Kluyveromyces lactis: one gene and its partner. The protein of the gene in region 2 interacts with the protein of the main gene of each other region in a pairwise test. Links are inferred from orthologs where the notes say so. Each region holds a gene or a part of one and is shown on either strand. Other genes may lie near its edges.

Evidence for each region.
Region 1: the proteins of MPS1 (region 2) and MOB1 interact in a two-hybrid assay, tested with the Saccharomyces cerevisiae proteins (2 studies listed by BioGRID). The link is inferred for Kluyveromyces lactis from reciprocal best matches to the Saccharomyces cerevisiae genes MPS1 and MOB1.

Annotation. Positions count from the first base shown.
Region 1 is NC_006042.1:355,294-370,719, forward strand, and holds MOB1 (Mob1p), read left to right. Parts: upstream 1-5,393; coding exon 5,394-5,413; intron 5,414-5,546; coding exon 5,547-6,444; downstream 6,445-15,426. Other genes in the region: KLLA0_F03751g (putative metalloendopeptidase), read left to right, coding at 146-2,197; PFK26 (6-phosphofructo-2-kinase), read right to left, coding at 2,304-4,622; alpha-1,2-mannosyltransferase ALG11, read left to right, coding at 6,800-8,512; KLLA0_F03839g (SLM1 family PH domain-containing protein), read right to left, coding at 8,684-10,630; KLLA0_F03861g (uncharacterized protein), read left to right, coding at 11,824-12,234; LAP2 (bifunctional aminopeptidase/epoxide hydrolase), read left to right, coding at 12,982-14,970; YIP3 (Yip3p), read left to right, coding at 15,288-15,311. UniProt on the Saccharomyces cerevisiae protein: Functions as an activator subunit for the DBF2 protein kinase. Binds to DBF2, which is required for the phosphorylation and activation of DBF2 by the upstream kinase CDC15 in late anaphase.
Region 2 is NC_006039.1:340,861-357,784, forward strand, and holds MPS1 (serine/threonine/tyrosine protein kinase MPS1), read left to right. Parts: upstream 1-8,326; coding exon 8,327-10,708; downstream 10,709-16,924. Other genes in the region: TRM10 (tRNA (guanine(9)-N(1))-methyltransferase), read left to right, coding at 244-1,140; YPQ1 (cationic amino acid transporter), read left to right, coding at 1,777-2,697; SPO21 (Spo21p), read left to right, coding at 3,241-5,109; CRT10 (Crt10p), read left to right, coding at 5,458-7,908; ARP2 (actin-related protein 2), read right to left, coding at 10,912-12,087; MRX9 (Mrx9p), read right to left, coding at 12,525-13,655; APM4 (Apm4p), read right to left, coding at 14,029-15,456; ribose phosphate diphosphokinase subunit PRS5, read left to right, coding at 16,166-16,924. UniProt on the Saccharomyces cerevisiae protein: Involved in mitotic spindle assembly checkpoint signaling, a process that delays anaphase until chromosomes are bioriented on the spindle, and in the repair of incorrect mitotic kinetochore-spindle microtubule attachments.

The DNA of each region.
Region 1 (15,426 bases), on a different chromosome or scaffold from region 2:
AAATACGAGCAATCCATCCATTGTTCCTAGTATTCGATATCATAAGGTTCTACACTGGTAATTCAGCTAATACCTGTGACTGACACTCAAATCTGCTTCTTTTTCCCACTGGTACACCATAGAATACCCTTAATTAAATCAAGTGATGTCCCAAATCCAATTTTACAACATCAAGAACGGAGAAGAGGTTCATACACCCGCACTTATTGTCCACGGAAATATAAATACAAATGCCAATTCTGTCCAAGTGCATCATTCGCAGCTCCCTCCCTTAACGTTTCCCGTTAACAACCACGGATTCAAGTGCATTATTTCTTTGACTCCTGGTGAAAACTTACTATGGTTCACTGGAAATGACAATTCTACGGCGCAATTAACTATTCAATACGTACCATTGTTACAGAACCCGCCAATTCATCTATGTCTACTACTCGCTAAAGATTCTCCTCTGAAATATGATGCACCAGCTGTACAGATTCGTAAGGAGGGTGGTAACGGTCTCGATTTGGCCATAAAGAAATTGAGAACTGGTGCACGGATCATGCAAGCTTTCACTAATGAACAAATGGTTCGTAACGGCGTCGGTCAAAGAACTTTCCGATTCGTGGAAGAATTCACGAAGGATACCCTCCTAAAGGATGACGAGTTAAGAAACACCGTTAAGATTCATATTCTAAAAAGTGAGAAGACTACCGTGGAGCTAAGAGATATTAATATCGCACAACAGAATCCTAATGCAAAAGATGCAGGTGGCTTATTTGGTATAGCTATGAAGGAATTAGAAAGATATGGTGCACCATTTAATGACAACTATAACACTTCTCAAGCTGCTGTCATGTTCATGGATAGTCATTGGGACAAAAAACTGAAATTGATTACTGCGCATGCCGCTCTCGGTGGTGGTACAAATAAGATCAAACTTGCAATTTTCGGTTCCCATGGTCTGTATTCTTGGCCTACTTGCTTTCAAGACATTGTTCCTTACTTTTTAGATGATACCAGAGCAAGCACCTCTGAAGTAGCCAATGATTGTAACCAGTGCGGTACCCACTGGGAATGTCTCGCAATTACACTAGGTGCATTCATGCATGAAATAGGACACTTGCTAGGCTGTCCACATCAAGAAAATGGGGTAATGTTAAGAGATTACATGACTTTGAACAGATCGTTCCTTACCAAAGAAGCTTACAGTTTAAGAACTAATTCATATGGTGCCCAATCTCCAATATATCCTAAACTCGAATGTACATGGCACAGATTGGATATTCTTCGATTCTTATACCATCCCAGCTTTGCACTACCTCAAGACTTTTATGATCCGCAATTATTAAGACCAGGTCAGCTAGATCATTGGAAATATCAGAAGGCCACCTTGTTCCCGATGGGAAATCAAACTGCAAGTATTAAATCGGAATCAGGTATCTACTGTATTGAAATAATATGTGGTGAGTTCGGGAAAGCCCACTTGGAATATCTACCAAAACAACATGGTGGTGTAGGACCCCAAAAGGAAATCTTAGTTACTCTGGATCAGCTGCGTTCCATGATTCCTCCTGCTCAAGTTCCTGAGTTCGGTAACAAGTTCAATATAAAAGTTCACTCCATTAACGCTGCTACCGCTGAATTTACCAACTTTCCGGAGATAATCAATGTTAAGCCAATTTCCATGAAAGAATATGGTTTCGGAAATAACGTTCTAGGTGTTAAATCTACACTATTAGGTAACGCCAACCGTGGTAGTCCAACTGGTTTAGTTCCAATTAAAGTTGAGCAATGCTACATCGTGCGCGTTTATCATGGCGCAGCTTTAGATGGTATCAGATTTTATGCTAAGGACACATCAGAAGCTCCTCAGATTCCTCCACGCACTTACGCCGGAAAGGTGTCTAGCATATTTAAAGGTGCAAAAGATGTTATGACAAGTGGTCCATCAGTATTATTTGGGAAGGAGACTGCTAATTATAGTGATCTAAGACTGGAATCCAACGAATATATAACAGGATTCAACGTTAGAGCAGGTGCTTGGATAGACGCGATCCAGGTAATTACAAGCAAAGGTAGATTATCTGAAATGTTCGGATCAAAATCTGGAGGTTCATTGGGAACACTAACCCCGCCTCCGAATAAGAAAGTCTTGGCAATATACGGAAATGTCAGCAGTTGGGTTGACGCAGTAGGAATAGTTTTCGAGGCTTGATGGTCAAATACGATAAATCATTAAATTACAACTAAGGTTGACGTTGTAGTCTGTAAATACTTGATGCAGAAGATATTTAAAGGAGTGTTAAACTATTAATAAGATCTCAACTTGTATGAGGGGACATTGTTTCACTCTGACTTCTAGAAAGAGGGGGAGCCTGAGGTGTAGTGTCACTCTTTGATTTTTCATTAGTAGCCAATTTTGATAGCTTTTCATTTAACTTATCTAATTCAATCGAGTTAGCTAGTTCCCTAGGAGAAACACTTCTTTTCAAAATTCCAACATGGTCTGAGCTATGGTTACGAGACATTGTCCTGGCCAATAAGCTGGGATTTGTCCGATATGGTGGAAGTTGTCTAGCTGGGTGAACAGATCTAGAGGCACCTGACATATTTGTGGAGGAAGAGTACGGTAGATTATGTGGCAACCGATTCGAAGACTGTCCTCCACTGCTGGTTGTTGTGAAGCTACTGCTATGGCTAACACTCCTGGACTTTCCGCTGGTGGCAGAGGATGGAGCAGTAGGTATGATTGAGTATCTTCTTTCTTGATGGACTAAACCGACCTCTTTAACCTTAGTTGTATTCAAGTCAGTATGTGGTACCTTAGAAAATGTGTCTGTTTCTTCGTTATATTCATATAGATACCAGCTTACACCATATGGTTTGGGCTCCAAACAGTACACGGAATGTAGGGGGACATCCAAATTTGTAATAACGTCCTTACTCAAGTTCAAAAAATAACCAAGTAAAACTCTTGCTACCACTCGATGCGTGACGATTAGAAGATTATCCGTAATTCTTTCTATTTCTGTAATCACAGGGCGTAACCTGTTAATAACATCCATATAAGATTCACCTCCAATGCCAGGATATCTATACCTTAACTTGTCTAGAAGCCTTTCTTCATATTCTTCAGGAGAGCGTAGCAATATTTCTTCGTATGTAAGCCCATCAAAATCACCTGCACTTAACTCATCTAACATTTTCATTTGTTTAATGTCAAAATGCCTGTCATTAAAAGTGCATGCGGTAGCCATAGCTCTTTTTTTCATTGATGTCCATACAAAAAATTCTGTCGGCGTAAACTCATGTTTGGTATCTTGAGTGCAAACTTTCAAGTGTTCTTTCATTTGATTCTCATTGAAAAGCTTTCTTTGTTCCTCCATAAACCTGGCTAAAGCTCTTGCATATTTCAAACCACGTTTAGTTAGTTGAGAATCACCACCGATTTTACCAGAGACGTTAAATTCACTTTCACCACTCCTTGTAATCCAGATTTGTCTCTCAGCAAGATTGAAGTTTAATAGATAGTATACTGTTTGTGAAGCCAAGAATCCCTGTATATCATAGGAAACAATTTTTTTACCAATGTCGATCATCTTGATGTATGGAACATTTTCATCGTCTTCGATGGTCTCATACTTTTTCATATAATTAGACAATCTTCCCTTGAAATCTGATAAAGATGACTCAGGATCTTTCCCCTTATAATCTGGTCCCAGTAGTTTCATTCTTATATTCTTTTCGACGGTCTCTTTATCCGAACAAATACTTTCTAGGAACAAAACTTTGATGAATTTATTTCTTTCATGAATCTTTTTAAGAATCATCCTACGCCTTTCTTTAGTGGAATTAGTTGCATCAAAGATTCCAACTGAGCCTGGGCCATTCAATAAATATTCTAAAAGTTGGTCCAAAGTGTCAAGAGCCCATTTATTCCTTAACATCTTGGAATGCTCGTCGTCCGGATCAAAAAAATTTGAATCCTGTTCCTTCATGTTATGTTCTTTTGCAAATTGCCTTCTAGTATTACCCACATTGAACACTTTACAATAATACATGGAATAGTTCAAGTACCTGGATAATTTATTTGTAATGAACGATTTTCCTGTCGCAGGCAACCCGACCATTATGATGATCAACTTGGACCCCGGATCCTTTTGAGATATAATACCATCGGGAGAAGTCTTAGATTTTGTCAACCCCGGCACATCGATAGTGGTGGGCCTCCTTTTCGGTACCATATGAGACGGTGGGTGATTTTCAAGCATCGACTGGTCCTGCCAATCTTCTGCGCCGCTTTGGAACCCATTCTCGGAAGAAAGTTGTTCTTCAGTGACCGGTCCCAACACAGGAGACCCAGTTGGTGAAGTGCTCCTTGAACTTTGAGGAGACGTCTCAGCAGAAGTCTCTACTGAACTACTGGGAGACTGGAACCTAGAAACAACGGGCGTATCACTTAAAGGCCGCTTTTGAAACTGAGGTAAATTATCAACCTCGTAGATTCCATCCTCATTCTCATCCATTTTCAATTGTGTCGCTTGATCATGTCTCTTATCTTCGATGGACTGTGTAGGTTCCAACTCGGAATCTGAACTAGAAACCAAAACATGTTCAGAGAACGAAACTCTTCTAAACATATACGAATTGGTAAATCTGATGACAGGATCCCCTAACAAAATCTCTAGTTCTCAGAGCGAAAAATATAAACGCTAGAAAATTGAGAAAAATTAACGGAGAATAACGTTAAACCTGAACGTTGAATTCAGTTTACTTTGCCACTGAGCTGTAGTACTTTAAATGCTAAAAGCTTGATCCTGCCCTTGTTTAGGGTTCCATGTTTCTGTTACATCATTCCTCATGTGATGTTAGAATAAATCATTTCAAATTCTAATTTCAACCTATATATAATTTTAAGGGAAGAAAATCAAAAAAAAAAAAAAAATGCTATAGTTAGGAATGAGCATATGCTAGCTTCCTTGGGTCAAATGGATTTTTGGGCCTCGAAAAACGAGAGGAAAAAGTAGACTTGCTGACATAAGGGACAAACTAAAAGAGGACAGACACCAAAAGGGAAGAGAGACAAAAAAAATAAAGAAATCACGTGATATATATTTCTCTCACTCCTCCCATTCTCTCCCATACTGTCTCGCTCATCTTACTTTACCTATTTCATGGAAAACGTAAACAAAATCAGAATTCGTTTTTGATATTTAGCATTACGACAATGATAAAGCGGGAGCTTTAGTGTTGAGATCAATTGAAGGCATAGCTATTGGCACAGCAGGTCCTTTGAAGAGAGTTTTATTAGGTAAAGTTTTGATTTACAAATCTAGAAACTGTTTTAGCAGGATATCCCAGTTGTTCATCAGAGTTTACGGTGGCAGTGTGTTCAAAATATTACTCAAAAAATGTCATTTCTACAGAACTTGTATGTTGTAAGATTGTTATTTGTGTCCTCTTTACAAAGTAAGTGAGAGCGGCCTTGATAGTTTTCAATTATTTTACTAACGTTGAGGTTTCTGCGATTTTTACTCGCTTGGGAACTTTCCATATGTTTTCAGTCATTTGAGTCCAGGTCAGACGATAAAATCAACTCGAGGATTCAAATGGAATACAGCCAAAAATACGAATAAAGATGGGAATGGCAATGGTAATACAAATGGTAACGGATTCCAAAATGTAAACCTTACAAACGACTTGAGTTTGCCTCAATTTAACGATAACATGCCACAACAGCTTTCAACTCCTCAGAAACAGGCAACTACTGCACATCTTTTCCAATCTGGACTGGATCATGGTGCTGGCCCTGTTACAGATTTCAATTACACACCGTCGCATCAAAGACCTTACATACAGTCAACTTCGGGCACCGTGGTGTCATCCCATCAGGACTTAAGACAGATCGTGGAGACCACTTTGGGGTCCAAAGGTGTTTTAAACCAGGCTGTTAAATTACCTAAGGGCGAAAATATCGACGAATGGATTGCTGTACACTGTGTCGATTTCTACAACCAAATCAATATGTTATATGGGTCCATCACGGAATTTTGTTCCCCACAAACATGTCCAAGAATGATAGCCACTAACGAATACGAATACCTATGGAACGTCCATCCTGGGAAACCTCCTATATCGTTACCGGCACCTAAATACGTCGATTATCTTATCAGATGGTGTCAACAGCAGTTTGATGATGAATCATATTTCCCAAGCAAACCAGGTGCCCCATTCCCAAAAGATTTCAAAGACTCTATCGCAAGACCTATCTTGAAAAGGCTATTTAGAGTTTACGCCCATATCTACTGTCATCATTTCAACGAAATTTTAGAACTCAATCTACAAACAGTTCTCAATACAAGTTTCAGACATGTCTGTCTGTTCTCAGAAGAATTCCACATCTTAAAGACTAACGACTATGGGCCTTTGCTTGAACTTGTAATTGAATTTAAAGATAGGTGAGAACGAATTCCCATTTAAACCGTTCAAAATCAAATGAAAATAGCACTTGAAATGATGGTTCATCAAATCCACATTCGTAGGTAACATATACATATTTTGTATAAGCATCACCCGCCTTCCTTTTTATAGTCTCTCTTATTTTAAGATCTGTCGTGTCTATGCGGATAACTCCGGTTCAGTTTCAACGATAAGGAAACTCAGATTGTGAACAATCTTATTTTACACATAAAAGATGAGGTACAATATATGAAAATCTTGCCTTAATGTCCTGATATAAATATATTAGCGAACGTTAGTTACGAGTTAAACAAGTCAGCCGCGTGTCCTGGGCTACTTTTCAATTGATATACAAACAATGAAGCTGGCTGATTTTGTCACGTACGTGTTCGGCAGCTTACTCGCAGGATTGGTTACATTGAAAGTATTGTCATCCTTCATACCAAGTTTGCTAGTAACTCTACCAGCGAAAGTAAGGTTACGTGTTAATAACTCACTTCTAAAATGCTCAAACAATTTGAACAGGATTCCTGTGCTGGATTTTGGTTGGAAGAACTCCTCTGTTAGAAGAGCCTTTATTTTAGCTTCTGAAAGGCCATCGGATTATACAAACAAAATATATGGCGATAGGGTTCATATAGCATACAATGATAGAATAAAGAGAGAGTCATTCGTTAATAAGTTGGGTTTTGATTCAAAGCGTAAACTCTTAGGGTTTTTCCATCCTTACTGTAACGCTGGTGGTGGTGGAGAGAAAGTCTTGTGGAAAGCCGTTGAGACATCGCTAAATCAGGATAAAAACAATATATGCGTTATCTATACCGGAGACACAGATGTTAATGGATCAGATATATTGAACAGTGTGCGGAGAAGGTTTGAATACGATCTAGATTCGGACAGAATAGTATTCATTTTCCTACAGAAGAGAAGACTGGTAGAATCAAAAAGTTGGCCGAAATTTACGCTATTAGGCCAAGCTTATGGTTCCATCATTTTGTCCATTGAAGCGCTTACTACACTTGCTCCAGATTATTGGATAGATACAATGGGATATCCTTTTGCTTATCCCTTTGTATCTTTGTTTGCTAGGATTCCAATTGTAACGTATACCCATTATCCTGTCATCTCAACAGATATGCTACAAAAGCTAAAAACTATGCCAGGATTTCACACAAACTTTAAACTGATCGGTAAATATGTCTACTGGAAAATATTCATGCTCGCATACAAATTTTCAGGCTTATTTGTTGAAATTGCATCGACTAATTCAACTTGGACTTATAATCATATTAAATCCATCTGGTCCTCAACAAAAAATATTCACATTATTTATCCACCATGTTCCACAGAATCATTGATAGAAGGCTGTGACAAATCAGATCCAGTTAAAAGACTAAATCAAGCGGTTGTTATTGCGCAGTTTAGACCAGAAAAAAGACACGAATTGATATTATCTTCCTTCTCTTCTTTCATCGATGCTACGACTAAGAAAGATTTGATTCCTAAAATAATATTTATAGGATCAACAAGAAACGTAGAGGATAGGGAATATGTTGAAACGCTGAAGAAGTATGCCTTTGAGGCACTTAAAATTCCAACCCATTTAGTGGATTTCAAAACTGATTGTAAATATGATGATATGAAGAGTATATTATATTCTTCATGGTTTGGTATAAACGCAATGTGGAATGAGCATTTTGGTATAGCTGTCGTGGAATATATGGCAAGTGGTTTGATCCCATTATGTCATGCTTCTGCTGGACCTCTTTATGATATTGTAGTGCCATGGGATTCAAAGAAGAATGAACAAAGTACTGACAAAGCTAATGAAACCGGCTTTTTCTTCATCGATGAAACTGATCCGGATTTTCTAGCCAAAGATTCTTCAAAGTATAGTTCTTTACGCACGTTATTTGCTCAGGTATCGAAATTGAATACTGTACAAAGAATTGATATCTCAAATAGAGCCAAGATGTGCTCTTTATCAAAATTTTCTGATTCAGAGTTTGAACGTTCATGGAACGAGGTGTTGGAGGAACTCAATTTGACTCATAATAGAATGTTCAGTTGAATTTGAATTATATAAATTGTTACATTACTTAGACAATGAAGTAAAGCTATAGATGTTTCGATATCAGTTCGTATATGCACTTGCTTTGAAAACATGACATCATACTTGTTACAATTTTGTTTCGGAAGTATTAGCAGAGAGAGGTGACATGGTGCCATTTTGGCGAGATTACTACACGTTATTCTTGGCAGAATTTTCTAATGAATATTGGCCTGATTTACGAGGATTTTTAGGGGTTAAAAACTGCGATGCTTTGTTCATTGGCTCGATATTAGAGTTGTTCAAAGTGGTGTTACCTGTAGTTTCAGAAAAAGCGTGTATCTCGTTTTCTGTCCTTGGGGTTGCCAGAATCGAGTCATTGTTGTCAACACTAGCTCTGGCTGCTTGGTTGCCTTGTGGTGTAGAGTGTGTCAATACCGATTTATTATGTGAGCCATCCAAGTTCAATTTTTCTGTGACAAATCTAGCTTTTTCCACAGGATTGGAGGTAGAAGTTAGCTGTTTAATATTGTTGAACCAGTCCATCATAGATTCGTAAGAATCTGTTCTGAAAACCCAATTATGACCTCTGTGGATAATCCCGTTTTGTTTTGTATGCAATATAAACTTAAAGTCTGAAGATCCTTTCTTGGAATGTTCTGCAACAGTACAGTCATTCAAAGACAACGATATTACGGGAATCAAGTCTTTCTTCCTATCACCGGATTTAAACTCATGCAAGAAACTTGGAGTTAAGACATAGAACCCACGAGAATATGATTTCAAGAATTTGGATCTTCTTTCGAGAATTCCAGATTTAATCTCGTACGTGAATGGATCATTTTGGTTCTTGTAAACAATGTCTTTGACACGTCTCATTGGTAAGTTAGGATCGATGAAATTTGGGTCCTTAGCGACAAAGTTTTCCCATTCAAAGACAGGATCTTTATTGAAAAAACCAGTGTCCAATTTGGAAATCAAAACGTCAAACACTATCTGAGCTTCTTGGCCTAAAACTTTAGCGTAACTGGTCAAAGCGTTTTGAATTTCCATCATAACAACTTTTTCCAACTCCCTACCAGAAGTTTGTAAATTATTAAAAGCTTCATGCAAGAAATTCTCTTCGGTCAACTGTTTCTTGATTTGTTTTTCCAAAAGGATCTTCGCTAGGAAAGGATCCTGTTTCACAGATCCGTATTTAGAATTTTCCAACGATTCCTGGAAAGCTTTTAAACGAATTTTGGTTTCCTGAAGTTCCTTGTTACATGAATTTTTGAAATCTGACTCTAAAGATTGAATTTCTTTAATTTTCACCAATAGATCACGTCTCATATCCTCTAATCTGGGGATCACATCTTGACTCAATTCCTTGGAGGCCTTTGATGCTGCATGGACCATTTGCGTATGGTACTGATTAAATAAGGTGGGTAGATCCTGAATAGATCCGTGCCCTAGAGGCAAAAAGAATTTTTGAATGTTCTTGTCCTCTGGAGTGGTAGGTTGATGTTGGCTATCAATGGTGAAAAATGGGAAGTTAATTGCATGCTGCAATCTCAAATGTTGTCTTACAACTTCATCTTGGATGGAAACCGTTTCTTGTAGATATACAAGAAGTGATCTGATAATACCTCTCCATGCTGCAAATCTCTGAGAGAGAACTTCTGTAGGGTTCGCATTAGTAGGCATCAATACCACCAAAGGAGATCTGGGATCCTGACCGTTGGACCTATGTCTTTGCAATGAAGCCCTGTTTCTGCTAACATGCGTATGCGAGCTAGTCAACGAATTCGTCTGCTGCTGTCTCTTGGAAGAATTCATTTGAGGGAAAGAAATTCCTTCTTCAAGACCAGTTGCATTTGCATTCCCTTGAACGCCAACAACATCCGCTGACATGGATCCTCGCGGTTGGTTCACATCGATAGATATGTTATCGGTCGGATAAGGAATTGTCTGGCCAGCAACCGAAACTCTGTTGTTAGCGCTAGTTCCATTCAATCCGCTTTGCTGGAAATTCTTGTAATCAGCAGAAGTCAAACTTCTAGATGGTTGCTGTTGCAGCTGCTGCAATTGCTGCAAACTGTGTTGGTTTTGCGAAAGCATATCGGCTATACTGCTAGTCATAGTGTTTTGTTTGGACATCTTATCACTCGAAAGCACAAATCAGAAGTAAACTATAATGATGATGATTATGATGATAAAGTCTGCGATAGCCCGGCTTTTCTCTTTTTTTTGTAGCTAAAGGGCTCCTCCTTCTTTATTCCTTAATAACTACTCAAACCGTAATTATCTCCAAAGTACCGAAAATACCTCGCCAGGAGAAAACGCTTTCTTTAACGTTCTATCGTATCAGTTTCTTAACAAAGGGAAAATGGAAGCACAAATCCCTAGTATTGTACTGAACTTGAGGTCCTTGCAAAATTTCTTAAATAATTCTTCCCAGTTTCAATTTTAATTGCAATTTCAAATTTTTGTTATTTTTAAAGCTGGGCTCCCAAAACTTCCTCTAAATATTACTGTACTTGGTGATTACTACAGCATTTTCTTATGATTTTTTTTTTTTCCATTTTTTGCATTCGATGCTTCTGTGAGATAAAGAAAGGTTCAATACATATGGATGGGGTTGGAGAAAGGATGCTGTGGATCCTGGTGGTGTAAAGCTTGCAGATAAGGGGTGTGAAAAGCTAGGACGAAGACGTCAATGGCACTGTCCAGGATAGATCTGTGGGAAGAATGATATTTAGTAGTATATATTACCATGTATTGACGTTTGGCCCTGTACAGAGTGATGAGGATATTCTGCTTCAACTGAATCTCCTTGTATCCATAGGCATTTTTTTTGTTACGTGTGGCATACGTCGAAATCAACTGGCCGAAATGGACGGTATAGTAGAAGTCCTATTCGGCTAAACCGTCTCTTCAACTGGATACCTGTGTTCTGCTCTTTGTCATGTTTTCAGCCACCTCTTTGAAGTGTTGTGTGTAACACCTGTGTGCATACTGTATTTGTTGCTACTGGGGTTCCTGCAAGATCTCTGAGCGATTTCTCCGATCACACAGTTACCTCTTCCGATTAATGACACGTGACACCGAAATATCGTTTTCCCTTTCTCAGATTTTGTTTACGTTTCGTTCAATATGACTATTGAAATCTCGAATTGAGTAAAGTAATGAATCAAGTGATTGACATATCAGCGGATCAGCAGGCAAGGGACTGATATCCAAAGTCTTTACTGTACCCCCGGCGAATCATTTAAATTCAAGAGCAGAACGTTACTGTTCCAACATTATTCAAGAAAAATAGCTCTGGAAAGCTACTGTGGGAGTATCTCTCAATGCAGTATTTCACCAAAGATGCGTCCATGGTGTATACGTATGATGGGATACAAAAGACGAACGCGGGCAATATTAAGCTGCGACGTTTGAAAACATCATCGATATCTAGATTGTTTTCAAGGAGCAAAACTGCACGTCTGCGTAACAGAGGCACAAGGAACAAACAAGCAAAATTTGTAGGGTCTGATTTGAATAAATTAGAGAGGTTCATATATTCAGAGAGATTCATGCCATGTGTCATATTCGTTATCTGTATAGTGACGCTACTGCATCTGATACTTGCCCGGCTGATTAATATGTTTCAGGAAATGGTCAAATATTATTTCTACGCGAACCTTTTCGGAATGGGCTGGGATTGGTACTCGAAATGGAACTGGATAGTTTTACATATACTTGAGAAGTTCGTATAGCTTCATATAATAGATCGCATTAATCGATGTTCTCTCAGTAGTTACAGTGTCTCATGTTAAGCACCATGAATCATACTGTAGTATCATATTTAATAAAAGGCATTATAGTGCGAAAATGCTTACAAATGAACGTCATTGTTTCCATCCTAAAGCCGCTTAATACAGCTTAATGAAAGAACATACAACTGACACAGACTCGTGGTGACAATTTTCCTCACTTTGATCTGAGAACATTTCATGTTTATATTTATTCCATCTTATTTGTCCCATGCGGTTACTCTATGTGTCAAAAACACTTATTACCCGGTACACAATATGAATTGACAAAGGGTACATGAAAAAATGTGTCAATCTGAGCTTTTGCTTCTTGAAATATGAACGAATGTTAAAAAATCTCCGGTATTGCACAATACATACTATCTTCTCATTCATCTTGGCGTTCTTTCTTATATTGTACTTCCATTTTGAGTTTCTCTTTTGAAAACAAGTGCATGCACGTACTGGCTAATTCAGTTGGCTCTAATTTGTCCCCTGTTACCCCTATATTGTGGAAACTTTAACAAGAGCTTTGTCTGTCTTTTTGTTTTAATATTGTGTGTGTGTGTTTTTTTTTTTTTTTCATTAATATCTAACTACTGGAGAGATCGTTTTGAGGTTGACCAATATTTAGTCAATTGTGTGTCTTTTACCTAATTTTTCAAGCGGTTCCATCTTCGGCGCATCGTTAAACTCATCCCTGCCAAGTGTATGCTTTTCAATTTTTACAATAAAACTTCGGCTGCTTGTAAATCTTTACCCGCTAAAGCTTTATCGAACGTTAGATATTTCCAAACCTCTCCTATATCGAGAAAAATGCCACTTCCACCTGTTCTTGAATCACGTCGTCCCAAAGAATCTCCGGAATTCGACTATTCTACACTTTCCAATTACAAGTCTTTCAAGGTAAAGCATTCACAGTTGGATGTTAGCGTTGATTTCAAAAAGAAAACCATTAGTGGTTCTGTCTCTTACGAGATTGAAAAGGTGAAGAAGGATGAAAACACTATCAAGTTGGATACTTCTTACTTGAAGATCTCTAAAGTCAAAGTGGATGATGAAGACGACGTGAAGTTTAAATTGTTAGAAAGAAAACATCCATTGGGTGCTCAGTTAATTGTTAGTCCATCTTCTTTGCCGGAAATATTCCATTTGTGCTTACAATTTTCGACAACTGCAGACTGTACAGCATTGCAATGGCTTGATGAACACCAAACATCTGGGAAACCGTACGTTTTCTCTCAATTGGAAGCCATCCATGCGAGAAGTCTATTCACATGTTTTGATACCCCAAGTGTAAAATCTACATATCTCGCCAACATCAAGTCTGAATTACCAGTTGTGTTTTCGGGTATCCAAACAGGTTACGATGATTCTACTAAGGTCTACTCTTTCAAGCAAGAAGTACCAATTCCAGCATATTTGATCGGTATCGCATCAGGTGATTTGGCCAGCGCTGATATTGGTCCTCGTTCCAAAGTTTACGTGGAACCTTATCGTTTAAAGGACGCCCAGTGGGAATTTGATGGTGATGTTGAAAAATTCATTACCACTGCTGAAGACATCATTTTCAAATACGAATGGGGCACCTACGACATTTTGGTGAACCCAAACTCATACCCTTATGGTGGAATGGAATCTCCAAACATGACATTTGCCACACCGACTCTAATTGCCCATGATAAGTCGAACATCGACGTTATCGCACATGAATTGGCACATTCATGGTCTGGTAACTTGGTCACAAACTGTTCCTGGGACCATTTCTGGCTAAATGAAGGTTGGACAGTGTATTTAGAAAGAAGAATCACTGGTGCTATTCATGGTGAAGCTACCAGACATTTCAGCTCGTTGATTGGTTGGAATGATTTGGAAGGTTCTATTTCTGCTATGCAGAACCCTGAAAGGTTCAGTTGCTTGGTCCAAAATTTGAAGGATGGTACCGATCCTGATAATGCATTTTCGACAGTCCCTTACGAAAAGGGCTCTAACCTACTATTCTACCTAGAGAATCTGTTAGGAGGTAAAGAGGTATTTGATCCATTTATCAAGCACTACTTTACCAAATTTGCACGTCAATCTCTAGATACATGGCAATTTTTGGATGCTTTGTTCGAGTTCTTCCATGATAAACGCGAGATATTGGAATCTGTGGACTGGCAAACGTGGCTCTTTACCCCTGGTATGCCACCTAAACCAAAGCTAATCACTGACTTGGCGGATGATGTGTATGCATTAGCAAATAAATGGATTGCAAGTGCACAGAAATTCACAGAAAGAGAGCAATTCGAAAAGGAATTCTCCATCAAAGATATCTCGGAGTTTTCTTCCAACCAAATCGTCTTGTTGCTAGACACACTAGTTCAAGGTGGGATGCCAGAAAAGGATACTTTCAAATGGTCCAACTACCCTGAAGCTTCTGAAATCTTCACCGATATCTACGAAGATAAGATCTCCAAGTCCCAAAACGCAGAAGTTATCTTTAGAAACTACAGATTACAAGTGAAATCTCACATCACATCATCATACCCGGAACTAGCGGAGTGGCTAGGTACTGTTGGTAGAATGAAGTTCGTCCGTCCAGGATACCGTTTATTGAACGAAGTGGATCGTGAGTTGGCTATCAAAACGTTCCACAGATTCAGAGACTCATATCATCCCATCTGCAAATCTCTCGTAAAGCAAGATTTGGGCATCTAAATTTCCCTGAATTCTATCCATAGGTGTGTCATCAGTATTATTTAAAAAAACTAAAGTTACACTTTCATACCTCTCTCATCAATATATCGCCATTCAAGGCTGTAGTTCTTTTATATTCCTTTTCACGTGACTTCTCCTTTTTGTACCAAGAATTTCTGCTTATGTGTTGTCATCTTTGAAAAAAAAGTTTGAATCTGGATTTTCGCATTAAATCACATATGGAGATCATTGAAAAGAAGTCTAACATGTTAAATTGAAAAGAGTTTTGGACTGTAACAGCAGCAGATCGAGTGTGAAAATACCCAAGCTTGGCGACCATGAACAACTTTGCTCAGTTATCCGTATGTTTGTTTTTTTCTTTTATGTTTTGGCGTAAGTTTTGATCACACGTTAAACATTTTTGTTTAAGGGTTTAAGACAATGAAATAATATAATTCATTGTATGTTATTTTAAGT
Region 2 (16,924 bases):
TCAATTTTGGCACGTTAATATGGTGTCACGCTCTCGGGATTGATATAATTCGAATCGTTGTGTTAATCGCGAAACAGGAAGCGATTATCCAGTGACATAAAACCCACGTGACTTTCAAACTTTATCAACATGAAAAATGCAGAAGAAGAAACGAATGTTTAGAGAAAGCTTTCAAAGATTCCAACGATATGGAAGCTCATCGCAGATGGTCCTTCGAGAATAAAGAATTGAAGACAAGCTCAAATGTCTGATACCAGTGAAAATTCAAATGCTGAGATTCCAGCTGATACCTCAGATGTCAAAGATAAACCTAAGCCGATAGTTAGGGCACCACAATTTCCACCTCCTCCGGAAGGCATATCAAAATCACAATGGAAGAAGATCTGCAGGAAGAAGCGTTTTGAAGAGACGAGGGCAGAATATGCACAAATCCGCAAAGAGAAGAGAAATCGTGCCAAATTGGCACGTAGGGAAAAGCTCAAGGAATATACTGATAGAGGCGAAGAAATCCCTGAAGAATTAAAGCGTCCACCAAAAGTTAATTTGAATCAAAGTGATTCCGGCATATCTATTATTCTTGACTGTTCCTTCGATGATTTAATGAACGATCGCGAAATTGTAAGTTTATCTACACAAGTCACTAGAGCTTATTCTAGCAACAAAAGAGAGAATAATTACGCCAAGATTAAAGTGACATCTTTCGATAAGAGATTAAAACAACGATTCGATAACGATTTGAGCAACTCTAACTACACCAAGTGGAAAAATTTCGAATTTACTGCAGATCCAACCTTGCCCACTGAGAATGCCGTCTATCTGACTGCTGATACAGAAGAAAAACTGGATACTTTAGAACCAGGGACCACTTATATCGTAGGTGGTATAGTAGATAAAAACAGACATAAGAACCTATGCTACAACAAGGCAAAGGAACTTAACATCCCAACCAAGAGGCTTCCTATCGGAGAATTTATCAATCTTGCTGGAAGGAAAGTGTTGACTACCAGCCATATGGTCCAACTAATGTTGAGATACTTCGACAACAAGGACTGGAAGGAAGCATTCGAAAGCGTGCTTCCACCTAGGAAACTCGAAGTCGACTCTACAAAAGAAGACTCTGAAACTGCTTCTGCTGAATAGAGCCAGCCCTTTATTATATAATTGTACGTTAATTACACCTTGCATATGGGCATCTGACAAGTAGACTACATAGCTATAAAACCAGTCTTCGGTTTTTAACCACACTCATACCCTACCAATGACTGCAAACGGCAACAAACATATCCATTTGCAGATCTAGAATTCCCCAAGGGCTTCATTTTTTCTTTGAGGACAGTACAAAACATCACGCACGACGCATGACTAACTTCTATTTGACTGGACTATCTTTCCTTCCAATGGAATTTTCATTTTTTTTTCCGGACGTACCCTCATCTCAATAGAAAAGAAAGGTTTTCAAGCAAAGAATGGTCTTCTGTTCTCAGGAAACTTTGCGAGTTGCGTCATGCACTGAGTAACGAATTCATTTTACAAGCGAGTATTGAGAGTTCAAGTTACTGCTGATATATAAACTCTCTTTACTGGTAACATCTTTAGAGAAAAAAATAGTAAAATATATTGTTTCTCATTTCATTTGATTAGTTTTAGTATATGATCAAAGGAAGTAGAAGAGAAGAAATTTACTAAAAGTTCTAGTTGAAACGAGTTCTGGTTGTCATCATCTGTACCTGTTGATTGAAACTACCATTGACATCCAAAAAAATCCTAACAAACAGAATGCAACTAGTTCCCATAGTATTGAACTCCCAGACTGTTTCTGGGATTACAGGTTCCATTTCTATTGCATGTTGGATCATCGTTTTCGTTCCACAGATTTATGAAAACTTCTATAGGAAGTCGGCAGAAGGTCTTTCGCTTATGTTTGTGGTGCTATGGCTTGCTGGTGATATTTTCAACTTACTTGGCGCTATGCTTCAGCATTTACTACCCACTATGATCATTTTGGCAGCATATTATACTGCTGCTGATATAATTCTTTTGATTCAGTGCTTGTTTTACGGTCAAGATGGACCTGTTGACCCTGTACATCTATCACCAGCTAATCCAATCAACGAAAACGTCTTACAAGATGTTTTTCATGAACGTCAGCCTTTGCTTACCGGACACCAACACAACGAACGTCGTGTTTATGTGGAGACTTCATCGACAACATCTGAAGCCACTGCTCCAAATGCAGATAAACCTGAAGACGGGAAATTGAGGGAGCAATTGCTCAATATCATTATTGTTTCATCCGTTATCTTGGCTGGCTTCTTTTCATGGTACATTTCCTATATCAAGAATCCTCATCAAAGCAACCCTGAATTGGACCTTCACATGAATTGGCTGGCTCAATCATTCGGATATCTTTCTGCCGTGCTATACCTAGGTTCAAGAATCCCTCAAATTCTGCTCAACTATCAGAGAAAATCATGTGAAGGGGTGTCTTTCTTATTCTTCCTTTTTGCATGCTTGGGTAACACTACTTTTATCATTTCTGTTTTGAGTATATCATTCGCCCCACGTTATTTATTAGTCAACGCTTCTTGGTTAATTGGAAGTTCGGGTACTTTAATCATGGATTTCATTATTTTCGCGCAATTCTTCGTCTACAATAAGGATACTCAACCATCAGCAGATGATCTATTGACAGTATGATCTTTTTTTTCAACATTAGAAAATGCATTCCGCTTGGTAGATGAAAGGAATGTTTACACACTGGTAATACAAATTACTGTGCTACACTCACAGCACATATATATATAGAAAAGATCAAAGGCACCTAATTGTGGAATGGTCTTTTCAAAGATGCATTTTAATCTAATCTTATTAATTCCTCATTTCTTCAAATTACGATGAAAGAATATATTATTCAGTTTCCATTCAGCAACAAATATATTAAACTTGTCTATAATGAGCTGCCACCCTGAACAGGGAGGTTCCCTAAACGTAACGTTAAAATTTGCTGCGCTATAATTGAAATTCCAATTTCTCACCTTATAACTTATTGTGTCAGATGACAGCGTCAGTTTACAAAAAACAATTTATTAGATATCTCGATGGAGGAAAAAACTAACGGATTGGATATATAATGAAACAATCTGACGTGTGTTCTGGTTGCCACCAAAGACTCTTGTTGCTAATTTGGTCTTTGTCTACGGTTCTGCTTTTGAACCAGTAGTCCTCAGGCATTCATTCATCATGATGGAAGGTTCACACACTGTCCGTATGAATAGACCACCTGAACTATCTGAATACTCCATAAAGGAAGATAATTCTACTTCGTCTTCCGATAATGATTATGAGAACCAGACAGCTGATAAGCCCGTTTCTCATGGTATTCACGGGTTCAGCAACATTTTGGGGTTTAGCAGATCTAAAAGTTCGTCTTCAATGAATGAACATAGAGGTTGGAATATATTTCGAAGAGAACGAACTCCAACTCCTGCAAATAAACTGGCTTTAGATGATAAAGAAGATCGAGCTTATGATCCAAAGGAAGTGAGCTGGTGGAGCAAATCCATCCATAGATCTAGACCAAACACTGAACCTACCAATAATGTCAATCTTTTTGACGAAGCTATTTCGCCGGAGGAAAAACTTCTTCTTTCAGCTAATGATAGGTTAGAAGCGATGTTACAAGATTCCTTTGAAAATGTTGTTGATAATAGTGCCAGCCCCACCAAAAAAGATGATCCTATTGAAACGAGTGACTCGGATACTACTGACATGGATTCTTTGCGTGAAGCTTCAAGAATCATAAAATCAAAAGTTCAAACGATTGACAATGATAGCCCAGAAACGCCTCCAAATGAACCAGCCATGAAAGTACATTTCAAACCTTCAAATCATGAAATTTCTATTTATGATTATGTGTATGAATCTCCAAATGCAAAAAACTCCAAGAACATAGATTTAATGATGGTGGATACAAATTCTGTGACGTTTGGTAAGTTTCAACGAATTGCTTCATGTTTGAAAACGGGCTGTGATCCTTTGAGATCAGATCAATCAATTGTAGCTCTATGCGATTATATTTTAACCCTTTCAAAAGAATGCAATGCAAAGCTTTGTACTCTCGAAAGCACTAAGGAACAGGAAGATGAAGATATAAAGTTCAAACTTGCGCAAACCGAAGATCTAAAAGCTCGATTAGAAGATATCACAAATAAATACGTTAAAAATACTAAAGAAATCGATAATGTGAAGGCAGAGAATAACAATCTTAAACTGAAATTGAAGGAAGTTATCGAATTCAACAATATTTGCAAACAGTTCTTTGTTGAATATAAGGGCCAAATTGCGTTGTTGAGTGAACAAATCAATAACGAGGTTACTAAAAACGAAACTTTAAAAGAGAAACAGGAAAGAATTTCCAAGAACTATGAATCTGAAAAATCACGGAATATGGAACTTTCAGAAAGTTTGGCTGTCTCTCAAGGTGTTTTACAGGATATGGAGAAAAAATATTTAGAAAACATCAATAAGACGACTGGTCCCGAGATTGTACAGGACTTATCATGCTCACATGCTGAGAATTTGGACCTCAAAACTAAAATTGAAAAAATTACCAAAGGAAATAGCAGGTTAGTGAAAGATTGCCAAAGGGAGCGTAAGAAGGTATTGGATTTGCGTAAGCAGAAGGGACTAACAAGTAAATACGTTGATGGGATTCTAGCTTTTCAAAATTACTGCATTCAGTTTTTAACTCAATACATCATGTCTTTCAAATCCGCTATTGATTTAGCTGATCTCCTGCATGTCGAACAGCAATTATTCCAAGTTTCAAGTTTTAACCCTCTCTCTTACAGAAACCTTGAATATCATTCCGAAAGGGACCTTTTGGCGCATTTGCAATCTTTCGAATCGGATTCGAACGAGTTGTTCCAAAATCTCAGCAATAACATCCTTGTACAAACATTCAAGAAGTATACGATAGAACAAAACGCCAACAAATTCCTCACTTCTCAGCTTCAAGTATTGCGAAAAGAATCTGCAGATAAAGATCGGTATATCGAAGCAATCTTACAAGAAACAAATAGTTTGAAACTGAAATTAAGGGAAAAATGAGCTTGGTATCTGGTTTAAAATTTATATAATAGATAGAGAATGGTTAATATTGTTGGAAATCTCATGATATTCATCAAATGCATTTACTTACTTAATGTTTAATATACCGGAAAACTCTCCATGGTTTTGTTCCAATGAATATCTTTCTTGAAGTCCTCTGTTGAAAGCTTTGAATAGAAAAACAAATCAGAAATAAGCATGGGCACATGTGTGCATCAACAAGCGCAACATAAATAACATAACATGGCATAACAAATCAAATGATATAAAATTCTTTTCAAATGCTCAGACAACTCATATAAGATAGCATTCGACTAATATAGCTGAATTGATCGGTTGCAGCAACTCATGGAACTAGCGGATTATGATAAAAGACGTTTGAATCTATTTTTGAAAGCAAACGGATTCTTCTTAAGGAAGCTTGGGCCTTCCGAACATGTCTTTATGGGTGGTGACAATAATAATGACGCGCAAGGTGATCGATATAGTTGGTGTAAGATTCCAAATGCGGCGACCAAGATTGATGGCCTTCACTTGTCCGAAAGACTGGAACAAATACAAGAGTTTGAGGTAGATTTAAGTAAGGGAGCGGATTCTAAATACGTTGAAGGTATAATCTCCAGGGGTTCTGATATGGAGCCTATCTGGGGTAACGGTAAAATTTGTGACCCTGGCGAAATTCTTTTACCAAATTATTATCAGATAAAAGTTAGAGAAATTGGATCATATCCTGTTCATGTTTTCCAACATAGGAGTGGATGCAATAACTTCATAATTCTTCAAAATCGATATGCACTATACATCAGTTCAGTAAGAACTATTAAAATCGTGGATCTTACTCATTTATCCACACATAATGAAATACTAGATGCCGAACAGAATCTTCTTATTGATGATTTGTTCACCAATTCCTCAAATGAATATACACTCTCATTGATGGAAAGACTTCCCTCATTTATGGGAGTGACTGTATTGGTATTTGGGGACTCCGCCGGAAATGTATCATTCTACAGAGAATCATCTTTTATAACAAGCTTTTCTGCTGTTCCAGATAAAGCTGTACTTAACCTGCGCTTACCTTCCGAAAGAACTAAAGTTTTAAGTTGCGATTATGTTGATCAATCGTCCAATCTCACAATCTTTTCCAGCAAGGAAGTGTTGACTGTGTTGTTTTTTGATTCAAAAGAGCGAACTCCTATCTCAGATGAAATTACTTTCCCTGCCAGCTTATCATGCATTACATTTTTGGATTGTACAGTGAATGGGTTCATAGTTATTTGTGAAGATCGAACAGCAACTAAATTCACCTTACACTTTCCCATAAAGACTTTACAGAGTGGGCAGATATATTATGAGCTTCTTGAGGATAGTAAAGCCATAGATAGTCATGGATTATGTTCGCACGATGAAAGTACATTGATATCGATATCCAAGGACGATTTTCTTTCAGTGCCGAAATATGAGTTTTTGACATTATCTTATAATACTAGTAGAAATGAAGAAACTGTGCGCCAAATATATCAAAACAGCATGATTTTGGAAGTACTCCCTTTGTATCCATCTGAATCAAATTATTTGGGGTTTGGGGCATCTATTGCTCAAATAGAAGTTCCAATTCCAAATTTCTCTCTCCTCTATCGAAACGATGAATCACTTGTCAACTGTCCTATAGAATTGAGGTATACCGCATATCAAAAATATGGAAAACATTACCACGAGGTATATGTTAATAAAAAGGTACTCAACGAATCATTTTCACAGGATCCTGATTGCTATATATCCAAACGATCACATGGTTATGGTGATTCTAAAGTCGGTAAGGTGCACGTAACCTCTGACCGGTCTGACGTACGACAGACAAGAATTGGTTGGGAGATTGTTTCGGATGCGGAGCTCGACTTCTGTAAAGACTACAAGGATAAATTTCTATCTTTACAAGATCAAGTAGAAACTTTAAGAATCGAAAGGAAAGGGTATCCTTGTTTTGATCTCCAGTTTATAGACAATATTGAGTGCTCAGCTGATTTATTGAGACGTATCTACTTCCACAAGACCTGGAAATTTACTCAAATTAAATCCTCAGAATTGAAAAGTGGAGAATTTTCTCCTTCTAATATTAAAGATTGTTTCACCGCTAGACAACTAGATATCCCTATACTGAATCGCATTGATAAAGATGCTGTTGATGAATACGTGGATAAATCGATAATTAAATATCTTCGGATTTGCGATGAATCAAGATTTAATAACGATGGTCCAAAGTTTTTTTCAAAGACATCAGGAAGTAATTTCATATTTGAGGCTACTTCGACTTTTGAGACCAGTTTGCTTGGAACAGATCCAATTATCATGAATGCATTTACTAGGCCGATATTTCCCTTGAATTTCAACTGTGTTGATCTCTCAAGCAACAAAATAATGGTTTGTCACTTACGCGAAATAAATTGCATTGTGGTTGCAAATGGCTCTGGACTAATGTTTCTTTATCGATTAACCGAGTGGCGTGGCATTTATGCTTTCAGATTTGAGAAGATTTTAAATATCCTTCGAATTCAGGATATATGTGACGATAGTGATGACGAAGAGAGATCGACGTTTTGTGAAACTAACAGAAGATTCACACAAAATAACTCAGACTTCCATCACACTTGCAACGAATGTAGACTTGTTATCAAGTACCCAATGGTTCAAAGTATGGATTACATACATATGCCCGAAACTAATGCGGTATTATTATATGTTTGTACCACAGCCTGTCTGGTAGTATACGAAATTTCCCCCAATGACTTCTCCAGATAAGTGCTGGCTATAGCATTGTGTATACAAGCTTTAATAGATGTAGTATCCACTCTGAAACAAATGAAAGCATATGAGTATGCCTAACCATCTCATTATCCTTTCGAAAATTGTCGACCGGTGTTCACTTGAAGATTAAGGTTCTTATTGCTCCATCCGTGCACCGCACTTTTTTGTTTGTTTTTGTGCTGTTTACCCAGAAAAGCCAAAGCTTTCTCGAAGTATAAACAAACTAATCTCTTTTAATTATTTCAACCGTTAGGAGCTAAACATCAGCTGTAGGTACTGTGCTAAGTATATTGGTTAATTCATCATAAGGTACATCAATACTCTTACAGTGTGTGGATACTTTTGCTGCAACGATACCATCTAAACTTAAAGGCAGCTCCCTTTCCTTAGCCTCAATACACTTTCTTATTTGATGCTTGGATCTGATGGAGTTGTACGACTTAACCAGTCGTCATTTCCTACAGCAGAAAGCCAACATGAGTATAGTCGATATCAAGATGCTAAAACAGGATTAGAAGAACCTACTCACTCGAACCCTTTGCATTTTGTTAGGCATTTCAATGGACGGAACACTACACATACCTCGAATCACACAGAAGATCAATCTCAATCAACAGTTTTCACAATGGTGAATAAACAATTCCAACCAAGCATGACAACAATGAATACCGTGGTCAAAGAAGATAATGATATTTCGAATTCAAATAGCAACCATGACAACAAATATAATAAACTGAACGAGGAGTCACTGATGAAAGACGACACTCACAGTCATACTTCTCAAAAGTTCAAAGTACTGCAACAGAGTATGAAAGAGGAGCTATATAACAGTACAACCAAATCATCAAACAAACGAAATAGAAGGTTTATCACTTCCCGACTGTCCTCACTAGGACCTGCCAAACGTAACCTTTCTACAAGTTTCAATGTGGATTCCCCTAGTGAATCCAGGGTTGATAATAGTCAAATCAACAGTAGCATAATAAATGATACATCTAACATTTCCCAGCAAGATATTGAAAATTCGCATACCTCTAATAGTTCTAATACAGGTTACAGGTACCATGACCATAACATTTTTCTAGAGACTCACAGACAACATTCAACACCCAGCCACGATGAGAACAAGGACCCTTCCGCCAATCTGCAACCTAACATCAACTATGAGAATATAGATTTTGGTGATCTCAACCCATACCAGTACCTAAAGAAGTATAATCTTCCCAGTGGTGAGCTTCCGTACATCTCGAAAGTATATTTTGAAAGGCAAAAGGAAGAGAATAGAAAAACCGTGTTGAGAAAGGCCACCTCTGGAACGCTGGCGTTAAAGAGGGAATTCACTCAATATAGGAGAACTCAAACAGCTCGGCAACCACGGAGAAAACACAACTTTGGCACAGATAAAACGTCGTTACAGGATCCGCTTTCTTCTCCATTGCAGAAAAATCAGCTGGTATTCCAGGAGGTAGATCGTGAACTAGCTAACAAACGCGAAGCGCTGAAACCATTAGATGTCAATAATCCATCTAGCAGTCAAGAAGCTAAGCGACCAAAGTACGAAAATGATCATGTACCCGAGGATTATCGACCTCCTTTTTTCTCCCATAGGAAGGCACCATCGCCACATGATTCGAAACCCTTTAAAAAGGTCGAGATAGTGGAACCTCCGAAATCCACTGTTGAAGTTATTCCTTTGAAGTCCGAGGGTTGCGATGTTTCATCAAAACTGAACAAGGGGGATAATTATCTGAACTATAATGGCTCCTTTGATACAAAGAAGAGAACCTCGTATGCTGTTCCAACGATCACAGTGAACGGTACCGCATATGAAAAGGTGGAACTACTCGGCAAAGGTGGATCGGGTAAAGTTTACAAAGTGAAATCTTCTGATCACAAGGTATACGCGTTGAAACGCGTGTCTTTCGATGAATTTGATGAGTCCAGTATTGATGGCTTCAAAGGGGAAATAGAGCTTCTAAAGAAACTAGAAAACAAGCAGCGAGTTGTTAAGTTAATTGACTATCATATGGGACAAGGTGTCTTATTTCTCCTAATGGAATGTGGTGAACATGATCTATCCCAAGTATTGACTCAGAGATCCAAAATACCATTTGATACGGAATTTGTCAGATATCACTTTCAAGAAATGATAAAATGTGTGAAGGTGGTTCACGATGCTGATATTGTCCATTCTGATTTGAAACCCGCAAATTTTGTTTTCGTCAAGGGAATGTTAAAGATAATTGATTTTGGGATTGCGAATGCGGTTCCCGATCACACTGTAAATATTTATCGAGACAACCAGATCGGAACTCCCAATTATATGGCTCCCGAGACTTTGGTTGCAATGAACTTCACAAGGAATGATGGTGAACAAGCCAAATGGAAAGTGGGTAAACCATCAGATGTTTGGTCCTGTGGATGTATCCTCTACCAAATGGTGTACGGAAAACCGCCTTATGGTACGTTCCAGGGAAACAATAGGTTATATGCGATCATGAATCCTGATGTTAAGATTCCTTATCCTGAAAAAGACTCTTTCGGTACAGTGATACCAAGAACTGTTATTGACACTATAAGATCATGTTTGGAAAGAAATCCCATATCTCGTGTTACAATTGACCAGCTATTAAGTGGTGCATTAATTAATCCTGTCACCGTAACAAAATTCTTCATACATGATTTGATAAAAAATGCAGTAAACTATGGTTGCGATCAAAAACATGTCAATAATGAGCGTGTGGAAGAATTATCTGAAGATGTTTGGAACAAACTAGCTGAATTTAAATTATAGATTAATCTATTGCACTGAGGGCAGTACTGGGATAAAGCACTTCTGACATGCCGTCTTTATGGCTTTTTTTCCTGCATTGAATAAAGAAGCAACATATGAATGCTGTGCTCCCATAAGAAGCCAGCAAATGAACCTATGGGTGCATTAATAAGTTTACCTACGTAATACAAATGTACTATTATATAAGAGTTTTAATCATTCATTTATCTTGGTCCAAACTTTGACATTGCAGCAGGACCTATTTCATGCCATTCTTGCTTCGATAACCACATGTGGTCTTTATCGGCCATAATGTTCGCTAAGACGGCACCACCAATGAACACCATATGCTTTCTTCTTGGTGGGTCCTCAATTCTGACCTTGAATTTATCCAAACGTGTGGGATCATTGCGTAGAACCCTTGTAAACCATAGTTGTTTTAGTTCTTTTTCCAACCTTGAAGGTAAACCTGGGTACATGGATGAACCACCAGACAAGACGATAGCTTTATAAAGTGATGTTCTGATATCCACATCTGCTGCTTGTATTGTGTTGAATAAAAGTTCACCCACACCTGGTTGTTCGACATCAACTAAACTTGGTTGGAATAAACACTCTGGTGCCTCGAATCTTTCCGGTCCAACCTTGATGACTCTCCCATCGGGTAATTCATAAGATTCCACTAGAGTAGTCGTCTCTCTTGCTAATTTTGTGTCCAAGTCTAGATCATAAGATACATAACAAAGCTTTTCTTTAATTTGACGAACAGTTTCGAAATCGGCAGTTCTGTTGAATGCATAACCGCGGCGAGACAAAAGGTCAATTAAGTGTCTGGTTACATCTCTCCCAGCAACGTCTAACCTTCTTGTCAAATGATTCAAAACAACGGATTCATAAACAGGAACAATGTGAGTAACACCATCACCGGAATCAACAACGACACCCGACGACAAACCTTGAGCATATAGAGCTAGAACGGCTTGAATTGCAACGTATGTGCCACCAAAATCATACTTCTCGAACATAACTTCACACATTTGTTCTCTGTTTTTAATGGGGTTCATTGGTGGTTCGGTAAGTAGTACCTTACCGCCGGATGTAGTTGGCAATTTCATCTGCTCAAAGAAAGCATAATCCCATAGTAATTCCATATCTGCCCAGTTTCTGATGATACCATTTTCCATTGGGTACGAAATCTGTAAATATGAACGAACTTCACTTGCTTCATCACCAATCATGATATCTTTCAATGGGGTAGAAGCATGACCTCTTTCTTCAGCTCTAAGAATCGGTCTACCTACGATGGATGGGAAGGTGTAATCTGGGAAGTTCTCACCAGCACGGCCAATTTTCACGAAACCAGTACCCTGATCAAGAACAATTGGAGTATGTGGGTCCATTTTCGCTTTATTAATGGGTTGAAGATGCTCACAAATGTCCGTTTGATTTAATTACCCCAGTTCCACTATTAAATCTGATGAAATAAACCTTTATTTCCTCTCTTTCTTTAAGAACATCTCCTATTTCCCAATGTTGTTGATGTCGTTTTTCACGTAAATCATGTGATCATGTTTGTCCATATAGAATTTATCCAGGAGGTATAAAGCTATTGGCACGTCACAAGATAGCCGCTAAATCGTTGGATTTACATGTAAAGCATGTTTTCATATGGTTCAAATGAATCTTATAGTTTGCTTGGATATGTGTTATATGATCTTTTTTATTTCATTGATGAATATGTATAAATTGTGACGGTTTGTGTCAACTTAAATAGATTTTGTGAAGTGATGATTCTTAATAATGTCATGTCAGTACCTAGGTGAGGGCGTTAGTTCTTTTAATCACTTTCGTACGTGTATTCTTTACTGCCGTCCTTTTTTCGTTTTACACTATATTGTGCATTTGCTCCAGTTTCTCCGACGTCTGTAATGAAGCAACATTTCGAAAATGGGCTGAGAGCACGTACATAGATGACCATCGGGGATAACTTAGAATCATCAATGTAGTCACCAGTGAACATCAACAATTCGTCCCCTGGGTTTGCCTTTGTAACGATGTAAACCAATGCAACTGGTTTACGGACTCCCTCAGAACCCATGTTCAATAGCATAAATGAAAAAGCTTGGATGTTTTCGTTATTTCTGACGCTGGAAACAAAAGAGTACGAGTTTGTTACTAACTCCATGTGTCCTGGAACATAAGCTGTATCACTTCCTAAAACTATGGATTTGATGTTGTGTTCGTTTTTATAGAAACTCTCATCTAATCTCGATTTCACAAAGGAAAGAAATCTGTCTGCGTTGGGAAATTCTCCCGATTGAAACTTATCTGTAAATGCTTGAGAGAGCTTGAAGGGGAATCCGCTGAAGTCCTTTAGCTGGGTAAATGACTTGAATTTTGGGACCATTTGCTTCATTATCAATTCTCTCCTTGTGGTGGATGAAAGCTTCATCTTAGTTTGATTGAAAGCATGATCCAAAAGCTGCATAAGTTTCCTGGTTCTAAAAGCTTTGAATTGATACCACCCTATTCCAAATATCACCATCGGGAAAAGCAAAGCAAGTAAGAAAGGCAAAACAAATACTATCATTGTTATGAATCCAGCGAACAGTAACGTGGAAAGAATAAAGGAAAAAGGGCTGATTGAAAAGATAAATCTGGGATTGTTAAAGGGACTTTTTCTGAAAGGATCCCGTCCACCAAGTACCATGTTTCTCGGCGTAGAATGGAAATTTCGAAGCGCCATCTTCACAGGAGAGACCAAAATATTCTGGTTATAATGTAAAAGATTCATCCGGGGATTCAAAGCTGCCAGGAGTGGGAACCGTGGCACCAAATTCACAAACTGACCCGTCTTGACACATCCATGACTAGCAGGACTGTATGCTTTTAACTTTGTCAAGGATTGAAATGGTCGCAGCCCAATCTGTGATTTAACGCACAATTGAAATCGATTTAGGGGAAGCATCTCACAGAAGAATATCACAATGTCTGATGTGCGGAATTGTATTTTCTCAGATTTATACCAATAAGCGATTACTTCTGGTAATGCAAAATGTCTTCATAGTCTTGAAATCTATGAAGCTTCTTAATTTACAAAGGAATTTTATAGGAATTTCAAAGGCCAAATTGTCTATATCATCGCAAACCCCATACTAAGATCGCAGGATGACTTATAATCTGCTTTCTGTTCCTTTAAACTTTTGGAATATTATTACTACATTGTTTAAATAGGAAAAACATGAATAATATATACATATCCGGGTAAACTTTTGTAAACCAATTCGTTGCACATTAATATGAAGACACCATTATAGGGACAAGTCATCCCACTCAGTGGACTAATATCTTATCTCGTATGCTCCTGAATGTGAGATATATTTAATCCATTTCACCGGTTGATAATTCAATTGTGGTTCTTGACATTTCAAGTGTCTCACCACAAGTCCGGAATTACTAAACATTACAATTTCGAAGCCCATTGATATTGGCGGTCTTGACCATCTTAACAAATCAGATAGATCGTGGGAAGTAGCAGGGATTGCCACCTTACCGCTCAGAGTATTTTCTGTAGATCCTTTGTATTTGTTGTATTTCCATACCATGCATTTTTCTCCGGCATCGTACTTACATTTTCCTCCAGAGACGTTAAAATCGCATTTAATCGTGGTTGGGGGCACAGGTATTTTAACTGTTACATCTTTGGCAGAGACATTGGATGGGAAAAGTGATCTTAACGTTACCTTGTAATTGAGTGTAGAGTTCTTCACGATTTCTACCTCCGGTATGACGTTGAATGGGATATTAATGTTATCAATGACACGGTATTGCATCAATTGGAATGGCCCGTCAGGAGGAACGAATTGAATAACGTGGTTGGCCTCGTACTTATTAAGTTGGACACATTGATGGAATTTACAATCTTCTAATATTACAGAGCCTGCAGCCGCATTCGGTATAGCTTTCTTATTCTTAATATCGTACTCGGACATCATTTCAACAATGGACAATTCTGACTTTTCGTTTCCATGAATCGAATATGTGTCATTCAACCCTAGTTGGCATAGAGGCATACCTGATAGATGTGATACACAATCCACGGATCCATCAACAAATGATTTCACAATTGACCCATCTTTACCTACCAATATTGTGATCTTTTCGTTGATATCCAAATATACCTCATTCTTCTTGTATTTCAACCCACTTGGCCTCCAAGGGCATTCAGATAATGAAGACAAGGCAATTGAACTTGAGGACCGCTTTGAAAGCTTTGGAGCCTTTAGAATGTTAGATCCGGATAAGAAATCATCCAAATCGGGAGATTTGCTAATTGTGTTATTCTCTATTGGTTTTCGTGATACTCTTGGTATTATTTGAGCTAAGTCCGTTGTTTGTGGGATGCCGTTCTCCAACGTCAGTTCTAAAATCTCATACAATAACATAAATTCATCCTTTAACACGTCTTCATCGTTAATTCCGAATGCTTCCATTAATTGGTACAACTTGTGTAGGTATTCCCAGATCATTGAACTATCCACATTCGATCTGGATACTGCTACAAGCCACATAGGCAAGTTGTCGCTACTTTCTCTGATAACATGTTGAAATGTCGTTGAGCCCAATGTCAATATAGGAGACCTCACATGTGGATCATTGATGACTTGGGTTCTAAACACATCTGCCAGTGATCTTTTAACATGGTCTTTGATCAATTTACTGATCAACAAATCACCCTTTGCATTGTATATAAATATAGCACTAAGCATGCTGCGTGTTGGTCAACGATAATTTTTATACTGTAGGTTACGAACACCACCGTTTCAGTTTTGCACTGCCCTGTGTACCTCAAGTGCCTGAAGTTACAGTTTAAGGAACCTTTACTGAAATATACGCTACATAGTTCAAAATTATTGTTGTGCTATTTATCAAACCTTTGCAAAATAAAGCAAAAGCTGAGAAAAAGAACAAGAACGTTGACGAGATGTTATTATTATATAGGCAACTCACTGATGGATTGGTTTGTGCAATGATAGATTATTGGAACAGAAATTGTATCTTATTCATTCCCTTGCTTTTGCCCCAACTCATTGTGTCTAAGCTGTATATATTTACTATTGGAAAGCATATAATGTCAAGGGAATTATAACAGATCTGAACAAAAAGGTCTTACGCAATACCTAAGAGTAGGCCATTATGAATAAACATGATATATCCATGGCACTACTGACAATGCGGCTCTTCTGGATGAAACACGGGCCTTTTCAGGTAATTCTTCTTTTTTGAAGATTCTCTGCAATGTGCTTTACTATCAGTAGGTCCGAAAATTTTTATAACAATTTGACAGAGATAACGAGATCGATCGGTACAATGATCATACAGATACGATCATAAGAGGTGAATTGAACGCTGAACCTGTATTGTACTTCATCCAGAAAACTACTGTTTAATAAAGCCCTGTAAGTCTTGTCGAAAGAAATGAATAACATCGTCGTTTTTGCTGGTAGTTCCCATCTCGATTTAGTGAATAAGATTTGTGAGAATCTAGGTATTGAAAGGTCGCAAGTGAAGCTAGGTAAGTTTTCAAATGGTGAGACCTCCATTAGTATCGAAGAATCTGTTAGAGAGAAAGATGTTTATGTGATTCAAAGTGGATGTGGCCATGTTAATGATAACTTTATGGAGCTATTGATTCTCATCAATGCCTGTAAAACAGCTGATGCATCCAGAGTCACTGCTGTGATGCCATACTTCTCGTATTCAAGACAGCCTGATATCCCATACACAGCTAAGGGTGCTCCATTAATATCAAAGCCTAAGGAAAAATATACTTTTGAGTCACATCCAGGAACCCCTATCCCTCAATCCATGCTAACAGTAGAGAAGCCCATGTCCCCAAATTCAAGTAGGCTAGATGCCGCAAGCTCAGCTTCTTCATCAGGTCCTCAGTCTCTACAAAGTCCCACTCCTTTGCGTCCAGTAGAGTTGAGACCCACCTCATCTACTTCTTCGCGTATCCCCATGATTCCAAACGGGAAGGCTGAACATCCATCTGAGCAGGAGCAAGATTCAAATGCAGACGCCCTCTTTAACGCAAGCAATTCTAGTTATAAGCTATGGGTAGCCCAAGCAGGTACTTTGATCGCTAATTTGCTAACTACGTCCGGAGCAGATCATGTCATCACTATGGATTTACATGATTCTCAATTCCAAGGATTCTTTGACATTCCTGTTGAT